Linked DNA regions of Styela clava. The protein of the gene in region 1 purifies or fractionates together with the protein of each later gene. This does not show direct contact. Links are inferred from orthologs where the notes say so. Each region holds a gene or a part of one and is shown on either strand. Other genes may lie near its edges. The genes, in order: nuclear pore complex protein Nup133-like and nucleoporin Nup37-like.

What was found.
Region 2: the proteins of nuclear pore complex protein Nup133-like (region 1) and nucleoporin Nup37-like purify together in Homo sapiens (affinity purification with mass spectrometry; 4 studies listed by BioGRID and IntAct, with this or other methods). This does not show direct contact. The link is inferred for Styela clava from reciprocal best matches to the Homo sapiens genes NUP133 and NUP37.

Annotation. Positions count from the first base shown.
Region 1 is NC_135253.1:7,609,196-7,616,842, forward strand, and holds the start of nuclear pore complex protein Nup133-like, read left to right. Parts: upstream 1-4,176; 5' UTR 4,177-4,373; coding exon 4,374-4,519; intron 4,520-5,135; coding exon 5,136-5,269; intron 5,270-6,128; coding exon 6,129-6,229; intron 6,230-6,861; coding exon 6,862-7,119; intron 7,120-7,513; coding exon 7,514-7,573; intron 7,574-7,647. Other genes in the region: uncharacterized protein LOC144421998, read left to right, coding at 1-20, 792-962, 1,162-1,306, 1,862-1,959. UniProt on the Homo sapiens protein: Involved in poly(A)+ RNA transport. Involved in nephrogenesis.
Region 2 is NC_135253.1:5,428,948-5,436,660, forward strand, and holds nucleoporin Nup37-like, read right to left. Parts: upstream 3,184-7,713; 5' UTR 2,311-3,183; coding exon 1,306-2,310; 3' UTR 979-1,305; downstream 1-978. Other genes in the region: tRNA (guanine(37)-N(1))-methyltransferase-like, read right to left, coding at 339-605, 812-972. UniProt on the Homo sapiens protein: Component of the Nup107-160 subcomplex of the nuclear pore complex (NPC). The Nup107-160 subcomplex is required for the assembly of a functional NPC.

The DNA.
Region 1 (7,647 bases):
CACAATCTGGGGGAATCATGGTGAGATATACCTAATTTATTTCCATGTTCATTGTATTATGGTTATTTACGATCACTAACATTTTTACTCCATCCAATCATTCATATAAAGTCACCTTCTCCTGAGTTCATACATTTGAGTATGTTATAGATAAAATATCATGAAGGACAGCTTTTTACAGGTATCTTGAAAATGTGATATTAGAGTCAATGTTTTAAGATAGTACGGTAGTTCATTTGCAGTCAGGTAAAAAAATCTTAAATTCTGAAGGTTGCACAACTCAAAACTCACATCTTTCATTTCAGAATCACCACTTGTGGAGTATTATTTTATTTTGTCAATTTTCTAATTATAACTTTTTCAAGCATTTTTTATAATATATTTTTGTTATAAAATTTATTACCTTTTCTAGTTTTTGTTAAATTCGTTCAGTTACAGTTCAGGATATCTTGTAGAGTTGAAAAAACAATTTGAATTCTACTACTAAATGTCTTGTATGGGTTTGCAGTGATGTGCATAAATAGAACAGAACTTTCGATGATAGCATGATGGCTTATGCAATTGATATTGATTAAGGCTTGCTGTACCATTCAATGGCCAGGGTATCCAAATTAATTACTCACAACCAAATTAGGCTGATAATAATAAGATTGGACATTGTGATATCAACTATTTGATTGTTCGCTAACAATCTATTCAAGACCCTAGCACTAAGTATCCACGTGCAAGTACATGTGTGTATAATGTTACGAGTAAAAATATAAACTCAATATCATTTTGTTTTTTTGAAGCATATCAACATTGACCTGACAGTTCTTGCAAAAGTCTATCTCATCGGTCTACTCGGTACAATGAATGGATTCACCAATTCTACAGATATAAATAGCTCTTTTTCAGTAGCTAATATCGTTTATGGGATTGATGAAGAAAACTTATTTGGAATATCTTTTGAAATTAGCCAAGTATGTTATATATATTGCTTGTAGATTTACATATCACTTACTTTCAGCTACTTAATACCAGAGTAGGTATTTGAAATACAATCACTTGCATTTTCTAGAATACTCTACCAAATGACTTTTATGAAAACACAATTGGTACATATAAGTTAATATTTTCTCTTTTATTAAGCATTTTAAATAAATGAATTATATTTTGCAGTTGAGGCTTTTTCACCCACTTGAAATTCCAATAATGACTCAGTTCATTAATATATCGATTGTATATCATGGAATTGCAATTGAAGGCAATGCTGAAACTATATGCTTCAAATTAGAAATAGATGGATGCCCACTTCACTCAGATGGTAAGCTATGGAAATTGTTGACTTTAAGTGAAAGTTTTCAGGGTTGAGTTGTTTGATGATTTGAAAATGTTCTTTGTATGTGTCCATACACTATTTTTGTTATTTAGTTCAAATAGAAGTGGTACATAAAAATAACATATCGCTTCATGACATACACATTTTCTATAAAATCTATCTTTGCTTCCGATAATTAAATTTTCTATTTTGTTATTGTTTGTCACAGGTTATGATATACTCAAGCGTGACAGTGTCAATTTCATATCTGCCGTCGATATACTTGTTGATATAATCCAAGACCTAAACTTTAGGCACCTCAAGTTGTATAGTTTTCATTTCAACTCATGATTAATTGACTATGACTTTATAATGATGTTATAGAAAAGGATAAAAAAGTGGCAGGCAATTACAGTCGCCTGTTCGGCAGTTTCAAATATATAAACTATTTTTAGAATATATTGAGTACAGCAATTCATTATCAGCTCAGTGTGGAGTGAGTAAAAAAGGGGTAGTCTTGATTATATTTCCATTTAATTGATCATTTTGTTTCACTTTTAGATATTGATAAATATCCTCATGGATACTTCCCACCAAGTCCAACTGATGATGAAGATTTGATTACTAAAGACACAGTCACAGTTCATTGTCAAGATTGAATATCTTTTGTAAACACTGATTGATATAATTATGAAAACATGATCATGAACCTGATGAATATATTCTGTATTTCTGAATAGTCTGTTCACAGTATATCTATCATAGCTATTTATACCTCTGAATGCATTGCTTTTCCCAATAAAATGTACTTAAATATATAGTAGCCTACTTTATATATTTTTGCTCGATAGATATGTGTACAGTCTGAAGTTATTGCCCAATGTTGACTTTCCCAATTAGAAATGAGTTGAATTAGAAGTGTATACAATCTACTGATAGAACGAGCGGTAAATATTGATTGGATTGAATTTATTGGAGGCCCACTAGAAAATGCTCTGCGACTCACAGTTTGCCAAACACTGCAGGGGTATTGAGCTATCTGACTCGAGTGCACAAGAGGTTGCTTGTGCGTAAACATTTCGTAATACCTTGAAAAAGGAATAGGCTTGGACCAATGTATCCAAAGTTCTTGTCAAAATTATGGAAGAAACATGCTGGTTTTCACAAAGCGAAAAACATTAAATCAATGTACATCAAAAATGATATTTTTATTGAAAAGGCTTGCATCGGTCGGTAACAAAATCCTTTCATTGGGAATGGATATTAAAATTAGTAATGCATGCTTGCTATTGGATTTGTAAGATCAGATATACAGGAACAAAGTGAACCATAAAAACCCGAGGGAAAGATTTTTGAAGTCACGGATTCCCAGTGGCTAGATAATTCGTGAGCAAGTTCGTAACTGACCAGGTTTAGATATTTATTTTCATTGTGCAAGAATCAATGTAAAGCAATAACCACATATGATAAAGTAAACCTAACAAAATCAAAAAAACATTGACTCATAGCAGTTAATGATGCATGGCGCAAAAGACTCAGAATGTCATCGTGCGTTGCAGAATTCAAGCAGCAAATATTGCAAAGAAACAATTCTATAAGAAAAAATAAACTCGAAATACGCAACCATGTAAAGAACAACTGATCGGTGAAAGTAACCATGCGTTCTAACCATAATGACCATGCTCAAACGCCGAGTGTAAGTACGTTACCAGCATGTTCTCTTGGATCTGTTCCACGTTAGTTAGTCGTTAGTTCCACGAAATGGCATGTGTATTGTATAAACTTGTTATTGTAGAACCGGGGACTTAATTAATGGGCTATTTTTCACAGAATGAAACAAATCAGGTAACGGTATCCAGTTTGGCAATCGTCGCAAAATTTGTAATTAGGTGAGGCAAGAATTTTTCTTGTGATATTTTCTTCCGCCTAAAAATTAATATATTATCTTTTTAAAATTTAATCACGTCTCTGTGGTGGCCAGCTGGGTCCTTGTGATATTTTCTTCCGCCTAAAAATTAATATATTATCTTTTTAAAATTTAATCACGTCTCTGTGGTAGCCTATGTGTGTGCATGAATAATCATTTTAGATGAATGAACAAGTGCGATATACAGACTTTTCGACGAGCTATTTAGACCAAATGTTACCGCCTAATAGGTGACATTATGCGGTTGTGAGTTTGATTTTGAGTCGCCTTGCAAGTTGTTTAAAATATTAATATGGACCACTCCCCAACCTTAAACCCCCGATTTCCCTATACTCAACTGTTTTTTAAAAGTACCGATAAAAAATTTTAGCCTAGTATGTCACAGCTATTTATACATTAATTTTTTAATACTGCAATCAAGTTAAAACTCCTTAGAAGACAGAGTGATCATTGAATTATCTGATTTATATTTAAATTTCCGAAACACAACTGAAAACTAACGAATAGAGTTCAAAAACGCGAAAACAAGGTAATGTTCGCGACCACGCCTAAAAATCTGTGGGAAAAGTGTCTGATCGGATGCGAAAAGGGAGCATGATTGGCCAATGTCACGAAATAAACAAGGAAGTCGATGCTCGGGGAAAGGTCCATAGGATTTCACACACAAATACATATAGATTTATACAAAATTTGAGAATATTTAGGGTTCTGTATGAAATTTTTATAGTCAGAATGCTCTTTCTCATTCTCATTCTTGGTGTTAGCGTATGAGAAAATGAATTTTCTCATTAGTTACCTCGGAGACCCCTAATTCAGATTTTTAAGCAGGCGCGGATTTTATGAAAAACATTGATTTAAAAAGTAATACATTTGTAGTCTAAGTAGATAGCCGTTCTTCAAGCAAAAAGATGTGCCGGCTCAACTTTGCCGGTTATATATCCGGCGCTAATGCGCAAACTATTTTGGATATGCCGTCACAACTGTCTGGCTCGCCGCGCGGGATTGAATTCAAAGGTCTGAGCTATTGTTGTGATGCCGAGATACTGTACCGGTATCTTATTCCTGTATTCGAGTTTCGCCAGCTACCTCCGACTACAGGACTTTAGCATCAGCTATCTCAATACTTGAATATCCCTGTGGACTACAATGTTTACCCCTAGCCGTACGCATACACCTGGTTCAGCTGGGTCCTCGCGAAGACGCTCAGCCGCTCCATTCACATTGACCCCAAGGCGTTCTCAACTGACTGGATCGAAATCATCTCTTGTCAGGAGGTCTGGTTTATATCCAAGGTAGGAAGTACTTCACACACATATATATAGGCTATATATAATCCTTTTAATTTTACATTTATAATGTTTCATTCATCCAATTCTGCAATTGCTGAATTGGTGGCAATTTATAATTAATTCGGTGGACTTGGCCATATATTTTAATATTTTTGCTCATTAAAAAATTGGTCATCTCTCAACCAGCAATAGAGTATTTGAAACTTTGTTGTTTAATTTAATTTTTTGTATCTAATACTGTAATATGAGCCATTATTTTTCAGTAAGTTTTAATGTTATGTAATACTTAAGGGTAACAGGGTAAACTGGCACATGTATTTCTGTGTTTTCACGTGTTAAACCTTTTGAAATGTTTTGCCAGTTTTCAAAATGTTCCCAATCTTTGGTGTGTTCATTATTTTCAAACTTTTGTGTATAATTTTCATGTATGTTGTTTATAATGAAAATAAAAATAATCTGTATTTCACATCAGTTCTAAAATAATGAACTAATAAATAATGGACATCTTCCAGTTCTAAACAATGTATCTTACAAAGTACAGATGCATAGTAATATCATTGCAATGTAACAACTATAAACAATTTACAAATTCTGAACTTGGTGAAACTTCAAATTTCAGGTCATCTCCAGCTGAGAGTTCGATACTTGGATCACCTTCTGTTTCTACTGTTTACAATACGACAAATTATACAGTTGAAACTGCTGGATCATCTTTGCCTGTTCTTGTCAATGAAGCCATCACCCTTGCAGATAGTAAGATGTTTAAACTTGTAACTAGAAGTCTTTTAGTTTTAACTTTTTTCTAGTAACTATTCAGGTTATTGATGAATGAAATACATTTACTTTTATTTACAATTAAAGTGGAGACTGACAAAGTATATAATCATTTTTTTTGTAGAAAATGTGTATTATTAAAAAATTACTAGTTTAAATTACTAGTTAGGCCGATCGTTTTATTTTTTTTTACACCCGCTTTAACATAATGTTGAATTACAGAATGAATTACTATTTATATTGAAATCGAGATAGCGATCGGAAACGCCGACTTATCGATTTAGCGGCGTGTATCCTTCGCTCTGACTCGATAGCGACATCGCATGTTCCATCACTAATTAATTAATAACTCGCTAATTATACGACATAATTCATCCAAAATCAATAGGCGTCTGGTCCGAGATTTGATGTATGCAGATTCAACCTCGCTTTCGTGAGATATCACATAGCATAGGAAAATGTGTCTAACACTTAAACAGACAGAAAAATACCTATCAACATACTTACCGATCGGGATCGATAAGTAACAAGTATTATTGACCAAGTATTACTTGTTTTGTGGCAAGGGTTGAGGAAAATTTTTTTGAATTCGAGGTGTTCCATACATTCAATGAATAGAATGCATTGGCTTGTATATATACAAGATGATTATATCATGTTATTTAAATATTTGCAAACAAGTTGTTTACTGATTTTCTACATTGTTCTAAAATTGTAATGTGAAATGATATTGTGTGAGAATTGTGTAAGAAATATGGAAGAGCCATTTCTAAATTGCCACATCACACTCATGAAATATGATAAAAATAGTGTTAAAAATATTGAATTATTTTTTCAGAATCAGAGCGAATAACAGTTGAAATAAATGACAATGGATGGGCTTGGTTGGTTTGTGGCAGAAAACTTTTTGTATGGAGATTTAAACAAGGAGTTTCAAAGGTATTTCATGTTTTATTTTATGCACAGTTTATGTTATATACTGAAATATTATTCAGTTGTGTTTAATGTAGACATTCTTCACGGGATTTGGTCTTTGTTTTTTTGAACTAGAGTTGATAACTAATATTTTTTGACTTTTCTAAATCTAAAACACAATTTTTTGTGTTCAAGTTTCAAATTTATATTTTTGGCAAGTATTACTTCAAACTTTTGATTAGACACCGGCTTGAAAATAATCTATTTGTTTGTAATTTTGTAGAGTATAATTTTTTCTGAATTTCAATGTTCGCCCTTCTGTCTTGAAACCCTCGATATGTAATTATTGAAAGTGGTATTATACAACGATCTCATCGATATTGATCGAAGTTACGCGATATCTCACGATAAACGAGGTTGAATCTGCTCCAAATTTTGCATATGCATTCATCATATCTCACCAAAAGCCTATTGATTTTGGATGAATTATGTCGTATAATTAGCGAGTTAATAATTGATTAGTGATGGGACACTCGTTGTCGCTATTGAGTCAGAGCGAAGAATACACGCCGCTAGATCGATAAGTCGGCGGTCTCTGATCGCTATCTTGTATGTTCTGTTGGTGTTGAAATTCAGAGTAAATTCTGTTTTTACAGAATGCTCTCTGCAAAGAATTTGCATTGCCACCTCTGAGTTCTTCTGATGGCGAGCATAAGTCCAGTTTAATTTATGTTGGGAAAGCCACCGATTCACCAGATGAAGGAATTGTCAGTTTGCTTGTGGTTACTCCCGCAGGGGGAGTCAGATTCTGGCCAAATATAATTCAAAATGTATCGTCTACTCTTGAAGGAAATTTAGATGGCATTGGTGCTAATTCTTCCGATGAAGAATGCATTAGATTAGCTTCAGTACGGGTGAGTAATTTTGGTTCATATACTTTACTACTATTTATCAAAACTCATACATTACGGTATTCTGTATTATAGAAAATGGGTTATGATAGTGTCAGGTTTAATGATATTCTGAATTTGCTATGTGGAGCTGACCAATGATTTGAATATAGATACTTTTATAACTAGTGGCAATGTAGAACCTTGTAGAACAATAATATATATGTATTGTAGACAAATCCATGTCGTGAAGCTTAACATAGATCTGAATATTGCAAATCCTAGTAACCTGGTTTCTTCGAGCGAGCGGCTAATTTAGGTCTCTAGTAGAACATTTTTTAAATATCTTGCTTCTTAGATTTTACATCAGTTTTCATGTTTTTGTGGGATTGACTAACCTCATTTGTTTGTGTTTTAGGGGCATGGATATCTTGTTGGTACCAGTAAAGGAGCATTGTTTCATATTATACCTTCTTTGGTAAGTCGCACCAGTAATACCTCTAATTATCCAATCACACTGGACTGCTTTTGTGTGTAAAAGTCAAACAAATT
Region 2 (7,713 bases), about 2.2 Mb from region 1:
AAAATCCTACCTTACTTAATACAGTATCTATATTTATTTGAATTCAGAAAATGTCAGGAATCATTAATATTGAAATTGTGTGATATTCGAAATACAAAGAAGGTTCTTGATTTAATAAATGAGATCCGTTTACACAGAGATTTAAGACTTTTGAATATGATTTTAAATAAGATCAAATAACTTAATATTATTTATAGCAATTGATAACAAAATTAAATACCACACGCCAAAATAAATCAATGGTCTAGATGGTCTAGCACAGTATAACGCTTGAGTAAACTTATTGTTTATTAGATAAGAAGTTATAACAAAATATCATTGCTCAAAGATATAATAACCTTATTTCCAACTTGTTAGTGTAAAATCTTGATTCAATTTGTAAATCGTTTAAAAGTTGTTGTTTGAATTCTGGAAGAGATTTGAAATTGAAGTCTTGTTTCATTACAACAAATTTAGCATTTTTTTGAGCTTCACAATTTTCTGCAGACAATAAATTTGCTCCTCTCCTCTTAAGAATGTCTTCTTTAAATTTCTTCTGGAACTTATTGAGTGAAGAAAAAGGTACTAGTATCGTGTTGACATCTACTTCCTTTTTAAATGCGGACCTGTTATGGCGGAAAATTCATTAAAAATGTAAGGAGAGCTTCCAGAATAAATAAATGAATTGCAAAAGGATAAAAATATACTTGGGGTTATTTAGTCCACAATCTCCATCATTCAAAGTAATAGCAAATGAACATGCCAGTTTAAGTAGTTCTGTTTTTTTACGAAACATTTGAAAACGCATTACAAGACATTCAATATCTCATACCTGTCTAATTCAACCATTCCTCTCACACCAGATGGTGGTGTGAATATATTCTGGTCACTTTGATTGAATGTTTCACCATTATTCATGATTAAAGAAAAGATTCGGAGACGCTTTTTCAAATAATATTTGAGAGAATCCAATCTTAATACTCTAAATGACATCTGGAACTAGAGATAGAAAACAAAGTATCGAAAAGTAATCAAGTGATGTGCTGCAATGAATTAATTCAACCCTAATTAAAAATAATGATGGATTTCTAGATAATGAGAAATTATCTGTATTGAAAATCAAGATTTTTGAATTTTTTTTTTTAAATTTAAATCATGATTTTGTTGAAAATAAAGTCAATTCAAAATTGTTGAAAATAATTGCATGACAAAAACCAGAAAATATATTACGCTGGTACATACATTTGTTTGCAATCTCACAAGCATAAGAAACATACTAATTGGCAGTGTCTAAGATATATAAATTTTGTGGGCCTTAAACAATATTCAAAACTGTGTACAACTTTTCGTGTCATAGAAATGAATAGCTTTATTTCCAGCTATTGCACATATAGGTAAAGTGCTGTGCCATGATGCACACATGCTTGTTTCATGAACTTTGTGAAGAATGGGTTGACGATGACCTAGATGGTAAATTTTTACAGTGTTTTGAGGTTGACCAAGTGTAAGAAAAACATCTTCGTGGTGTTTAGACCAGAGTAATTTTCTGCAACCTCCAGAATTAGCTTGCTGTGAATCAAGTGGATATGAGGATTTTGTAATATCCCAAAGAAACCATTCCATTTCTGCACTAGCTCCAACTTTACTGTGATTCAACCAGCACCAGTCTGCAGAAGTTAAGCTGTGTTTTTTGCAGTCAATAGCGAGTATTGCCTGTTTCAAATGTACATTGTAAAATCTTATTCGACCTCCTAGTTCCGCCGCCATCAATTTGCCTGATTGGTCAGGGTGCCAACATACGCTCACACCGGGATACTGAAGTGGGAAAGACACAATAACATCACCACTATCGACATCCCAAACTTTGCAAGAGTAATCGTCACTCACAGAAGCTAGCTCCTGACCTTCTATTGGCTCAAATGAGATATGATTTACACAATCAGTATGGCCTTCAAGTGAATTTTCCACAGCTTCTTCCTTCAGATCTGCTGTATATACATTGATCACTCCAGTTTTAGTTCCAGTAGCAATCACAATTAGGTTTGGCAAATGTTTTATATTTGAAACAGGGGACCAGGCAAGACAATTCAGATCGCATACTCTCAGCTTATGAAGTATAACATTATTATGAACAAGATTTTTGTATATTTGCTTTGCATAGCCACCATTAGCTTCTTTCTCTACAGAAAATTCACAGCTTTCAATTGTGAGACCATCTTTACTAGCAATTGCTATAAGGTTAGATGCACGTTCGAAAGGACAAAACTCCAAAGCATTAATGAATGGTGGTGCTTCTACAGCTTGACTATGTACAGTGTGAGTGCTCATCATATTTCCACCACTTTAATCCAAACAATTATTAATTTTTTTTTTTATGGTTCCAACAAAGTGAAATTTTCAATAATTAAATAATAAATAAGATAATAAAATTGAATCCATGTTCATCGAGTTGATTCCACAGTTTGATTTTAATTAGTTATTTTTTGATTGAAAAAAAAAGAGTTATGAAAAGTCATAAGTTATTGCATATCATGTCGAGTTCGTTTGTGTAAGAACATTGTTTTCTAAATTTTTCCATGTTTCTCCTTGCTAAAAGAGAGTTTCTTATCTTCACTATAACATTATTGACATTTCAGCATTTGGTACAATATTTTGAAAAATTACAGCATTGCGCTCCAACCATATTTCAGTATTTTATACCGTGCAGTACACAATAACAATACAATAGCATTACGTTCGAAAATTGATAAATGAGAATTAAAGTGATGATTTAAGTCTAATAAATTATTTATTATTAAAATTTGTTTGCGAAAAATTCCCAGTCAATTCCTAGCACTGTCAGACTGTAGCACTAATGCTCAGGTATAATTCCAGTCTTACTACTTACTGAATAAAGCGAGAAACAGCCCAGATGAGAGGAAAACAGCGCAGAAGAAAGGGAACATTTTTCTTTCATTATTTATTAGCGTCCTTGAAATTTTAAACAATTTGATGGGAACCCTAACACTAATTAGTATTGGTTTTACATGCGATACGTCTGCTATTAATGGGAATCAGCGGGAAACAAACGCCATTCACCTTCAGTAAGTAGGCTAGCGCTGCGCTACACAGAAACAACAGTAACGAGAACATGTTCGTGTATTACGCTGGAAGGCTGAACGCAAAAGAGCGACTTATGGCTGACTTGTCGGGACGGCGGGACAAGACGCTAAAAAGCGGTACTGTTCCGCCCAAAGTGACTATAAACCAAGTGAGGACATGCATTGGTAACGTTATAAGCGCTCGTGTGACGTCACACCAGCCATTTTGTGTCCAGAGTTCTATCGCTGTATGATCCTAACCAGGGAGATGAAACTAGTCTGGAAAGCCACGCCCACAATAATAAAACAAACAAAGTTATGCGCGTTAGGAGTTTCTGCAGCTTCACGCTCCATTGCGGTCACTTGATTTGCTCGGGGATTATTGAAGAGGGTGGTATGTGCACAAAATATCTCGCTGTCGCCTATATTCTTAGCTCAGCAGCCTATAGTATTTCATTAAGTTGGTTCAATACTTTAATTAAATGCCGGTTGTCCATCTTAAGCTCGGTCTCTTTAGTTTATTTCAAGATAGATTAGATTCGGCTTCAACTAGTATTTCCCCCTCAAGACAACGCAGGTACGGTATGGTAACTTGGCGTTCTATGAACCACCCCAGTACTGCAATATTCTACCCGATTATTGTAACCTAGGGCCTAGGCTACTTTATTTCTTATGTTCTGTGAGTCCGGTACTGGGTTACGATCTTTATAGTTACACACCCTCCATTCTAGAAGATATAATTCTACTATTATTACTTACGACTAACATACCAGCACTATAGTCTGAGAGTATTCACAGATTTACCAAACACCAATTTCTTTTTCCAAAGTCAAACCGTTTTATTTTTTCTTTACGTTTTTGTATTACTTTTTTAGAATTGCATAATTTGTATTATAGTGCTATAGGCTATTTATTCACAATCACTCATCAACAAGAGTAATTGATGTTGCATTCCACAATGCGATAGTGTCAGTGGATCTTGCACCCTGTTTTTGCCATCATCCAAGCGGGTTTGTTCCGGTGAAAAATTTATATGGGCAGCAGTGTTCCCTCTAAGGTGAGCGCGTGTGCACTGCAAGTTTATGCACATGATTTGATTGCGTAATTTTCAAAGTCCTTGACGTTATCCGCTCAGACCATCTCGCTAGCATTTTCTGGGAAAGTGTTGGAGAAGTGGGATTGGGGCTTATTACAGATGGACTTAGTGCAAACCGTAAAATGTTCCATGAGTTAAATAATTTGAGGTTAACTTTCCCATATACATGTATCAATGGTTCTGATCATTTCATTTACTCAAAACAGTAAGCAATAATGTGTTTGCGAGTCACGCTGGTGGAATTCGCCTATTGAAAAAAGATGACCATTTTCGTGCAGTACCATCTTTTTCATCCAAAGAGTTCCACTCCTGCAAATTGACGGAATCCCACTTGTGCTTACAAAGCTACCCAAAAGTGTGTGTCAAATATGCAGCCCAGGTGCTATCTAAGACTGCTGCAAGATTGATGCAGCAGAGAGGTGGGCCAGAACTCTTGGTCAGCATGGTTTGATATTATGAATACTTGGCCAAATTTTGGATATAAAAAAGGGTGCTCCCGTAATATGTGTACCAAGTTGGGGTTATCAGGTTGTGCGCTATCTTGGTACACATACTACGGGAGCGCCTAAAAAATGCTCCGACCATTCCATAGCATTGATGAGTGACTGATTTAGCTTGAAAATAATTTTCATTCCAGGAATACGCAACTGGAAATCATCTGTCGCAGAGACAAAAGAGTTCTAGATATTCCGTATTTTTATTATGCAACTTACATTGCCTATTGCCATGAAAATATACTATATTGCAATGAAAATTTTGTTATGAAAAATAGATTGTTTGTTTAATTACTGCTAAAGTAATAAAACTGGAATGACATCTAAACGCACTACCTTGCAAAATAAAGTGAAAAGAGATCATGCTCTTCATCTACATTTATTTTTTAGTAGTTTTCGTAGGGATAAATTCTGTTTGATGGCACCTTATTTTTCTAAGATGTCCAGCATGCTAGTATCGTTTTGGGCGATACCAAATGATTCTATATTAAAATTTTCAAAAACTGTGGCTGTAACATCTTCATGAGCATAGTTTAATCTAAATTCAATTTCGAGCAGCTTGGACACTGGGCAATGGCACGGTTAAGCGTCCATATTCTGCATTACTGCAATCATAGAGTCAGTTATCAAACAGTCCGGTTCGGGAGAAAATAATGACTGAATTCTTTTGCAGTCTTCGGGGTCTTAGCATCGTTTTTGCTTTCCTAGTAGAATGAACCCAGCAATGTATTGGATTATATGGACCTCATCGTCATTCAATATGATAGAACTTGAATTCAGTAAATCTGGAAAACATAGGGAACAGGTGTGTAATAGTAGGATATCGCAATATTGATTACCATGAATGTCAATCAAACACGGTCAATACTTGAAATTAAATTCGATCAAGCGCCTGTTAAGCTAGTGCGCACAATGTATGAATCAGGTAGTGCTTTATTGCCTACATTCAAAACCAATATTGCTTAGAAAACAGTTGCGTTTTATATCCTTATGTATGAATAAAAACCCAATTAAGCAATTTTTGCCAGTTAGTCATATTGTCCGTAAATTATGGTATCTAAACATACTCAAATCCAGACAAATATTAAGCACCACACCTTTCGTTTTATCCATTTCTTTGGCTGTGAATCTATCAAATAATTACCCGACAGACTGGAGGGTATAGTAAACCTGGAATACTCTGTTCCAATGTGAGGAATAACGCTAACTGCATCACAGCTGAAAGATAACATTTGATCACTCAGGACTTTCCTTCAGCAACAATTGCAAGTATTTGACCACATTTGGTAAAATAGGGACAGTGGCTGCAATGATCTTCCCCACACTAATATCTCTGCCTAAAAATAAAAAAAATTCAAAATTATTTTGACAGATTCATCCCATGGTGTTTAAAAAAATCTGCACTTCATGTTTATCTTGAGTTGTGGAAGTTGTATTAGTAATCATGGAATTTATGTAGGGGTCTATAATTATGTAAATCTTACCTTGTTTGTGAATATGTTGAGCCAAAGATGCCACGCTGGAAAATAATAACTTTTGACACGTCGAGCACCTTGAAATAAAACATAGGTTATTTTTTATAAATCTCAGAATAGGTTGTTTATTAGCAAAAATATTGTCATGAAAATATCACATTTAGGTATGTAGAATAAAATCCAGAAAATATATTGATGGTAAGATAATTGAATGCATGATCTGTTGGGGTCTTGCATTAATCTCTCCTAACACTTTTTGCCCTCTGTCTGTCTGTAACTCTCTTTTCAATAGCTGTCTTACTTTTGCTCACTCAAGGCAGCAAGGTAAACTTTTCTTCCATTGACTCATCAAGATCTATGAATACATGTCAGTTTATGATCCTCTAACATGAATGAATCTAGTACGGTACAGGCAGACAGGTAATGTCTGAATATATCATCAAATTCATAATCTGATTCAGGGATTTAAACTCGGCAGCTCTGTCTGTCATATCTCAGCACATGATAACTGCTCCCTGAATAGTCACCCGCTAATGGAAACATACTGATAGTATATATTTAACGTATAGAAATGGTAGGCTTACCTTTATTAGCCATAATAGCCACTGATTATATAATACCTTGAGTCCGATGCGACCAACAGATATGGTGAAACTGCAGCAAAACGCTGGGAACTCGAGTGGGCGTTAACGAATCAAGTTGCCGCAATGGAGCGTATCGCGTCAGACACTCCTCATTGGTCAAGGCTTTAGTTGCGCATCATGGTATGTTAGTCGTTGATCCTAACTAAGTGATTTAAACCTGCGATCGTTAAACAGCTGATTAAAAAAAAACGATGCTCAATAATTCGGAACAAACTTTCGCAATGGCAAAACGAATGAACATTCTTCTGAAAAATTAATTACCCGCAGATGTTTAAAGTCATCCAACTAAATCAACAACTCAATAGAACCAAAATATTAAATAAAATGATACACATTTTAGTATTAAATTATTATAAAATTCCCGATGTAAGTATCGCTACTTGCACAGAATCTATTTTAACAAAGTGACAGAACCACAATACAAATTATACTGCAGAATCTTGCACTATTTTTGCGGTACATGTCATGATATTAAAATATGCGTATCGCAAATTTTCAACAAGGTGTACATTGCCAAAATAATATTAAAAAAATATACTACATGCATGGAATGAAGGATAACGGCGTATATCAAGTTTACAAGAACATCTAATAATCTGGAGTGTATAAAATATCAAATTATCTATTTTATTTGAGCTCTTGCCGCAGGTCCACGAGCATACCGTTTTTCAATAATTTTATTTGTCTCCTCTTTTGCGTGAATATTTAACCTTAAACTGAGAAAACGTTTCAAAATTTTAAAAGCGATGTTGTGGCAAGATGGTAAATTATATTTCAAGCAACCTCATCTGTCGGAAAAGTAACAGGCGAAAATATATTATAAAAAGCATTAGTATTTGCGCGAAATATAGTTTATACTTCGCGCAAAAATACGATTGCTTTTTTGGATGGGTGGCATAAATATTGGGTAAAACTATCAATTTTCAAATATTTATCGTGTGTGTA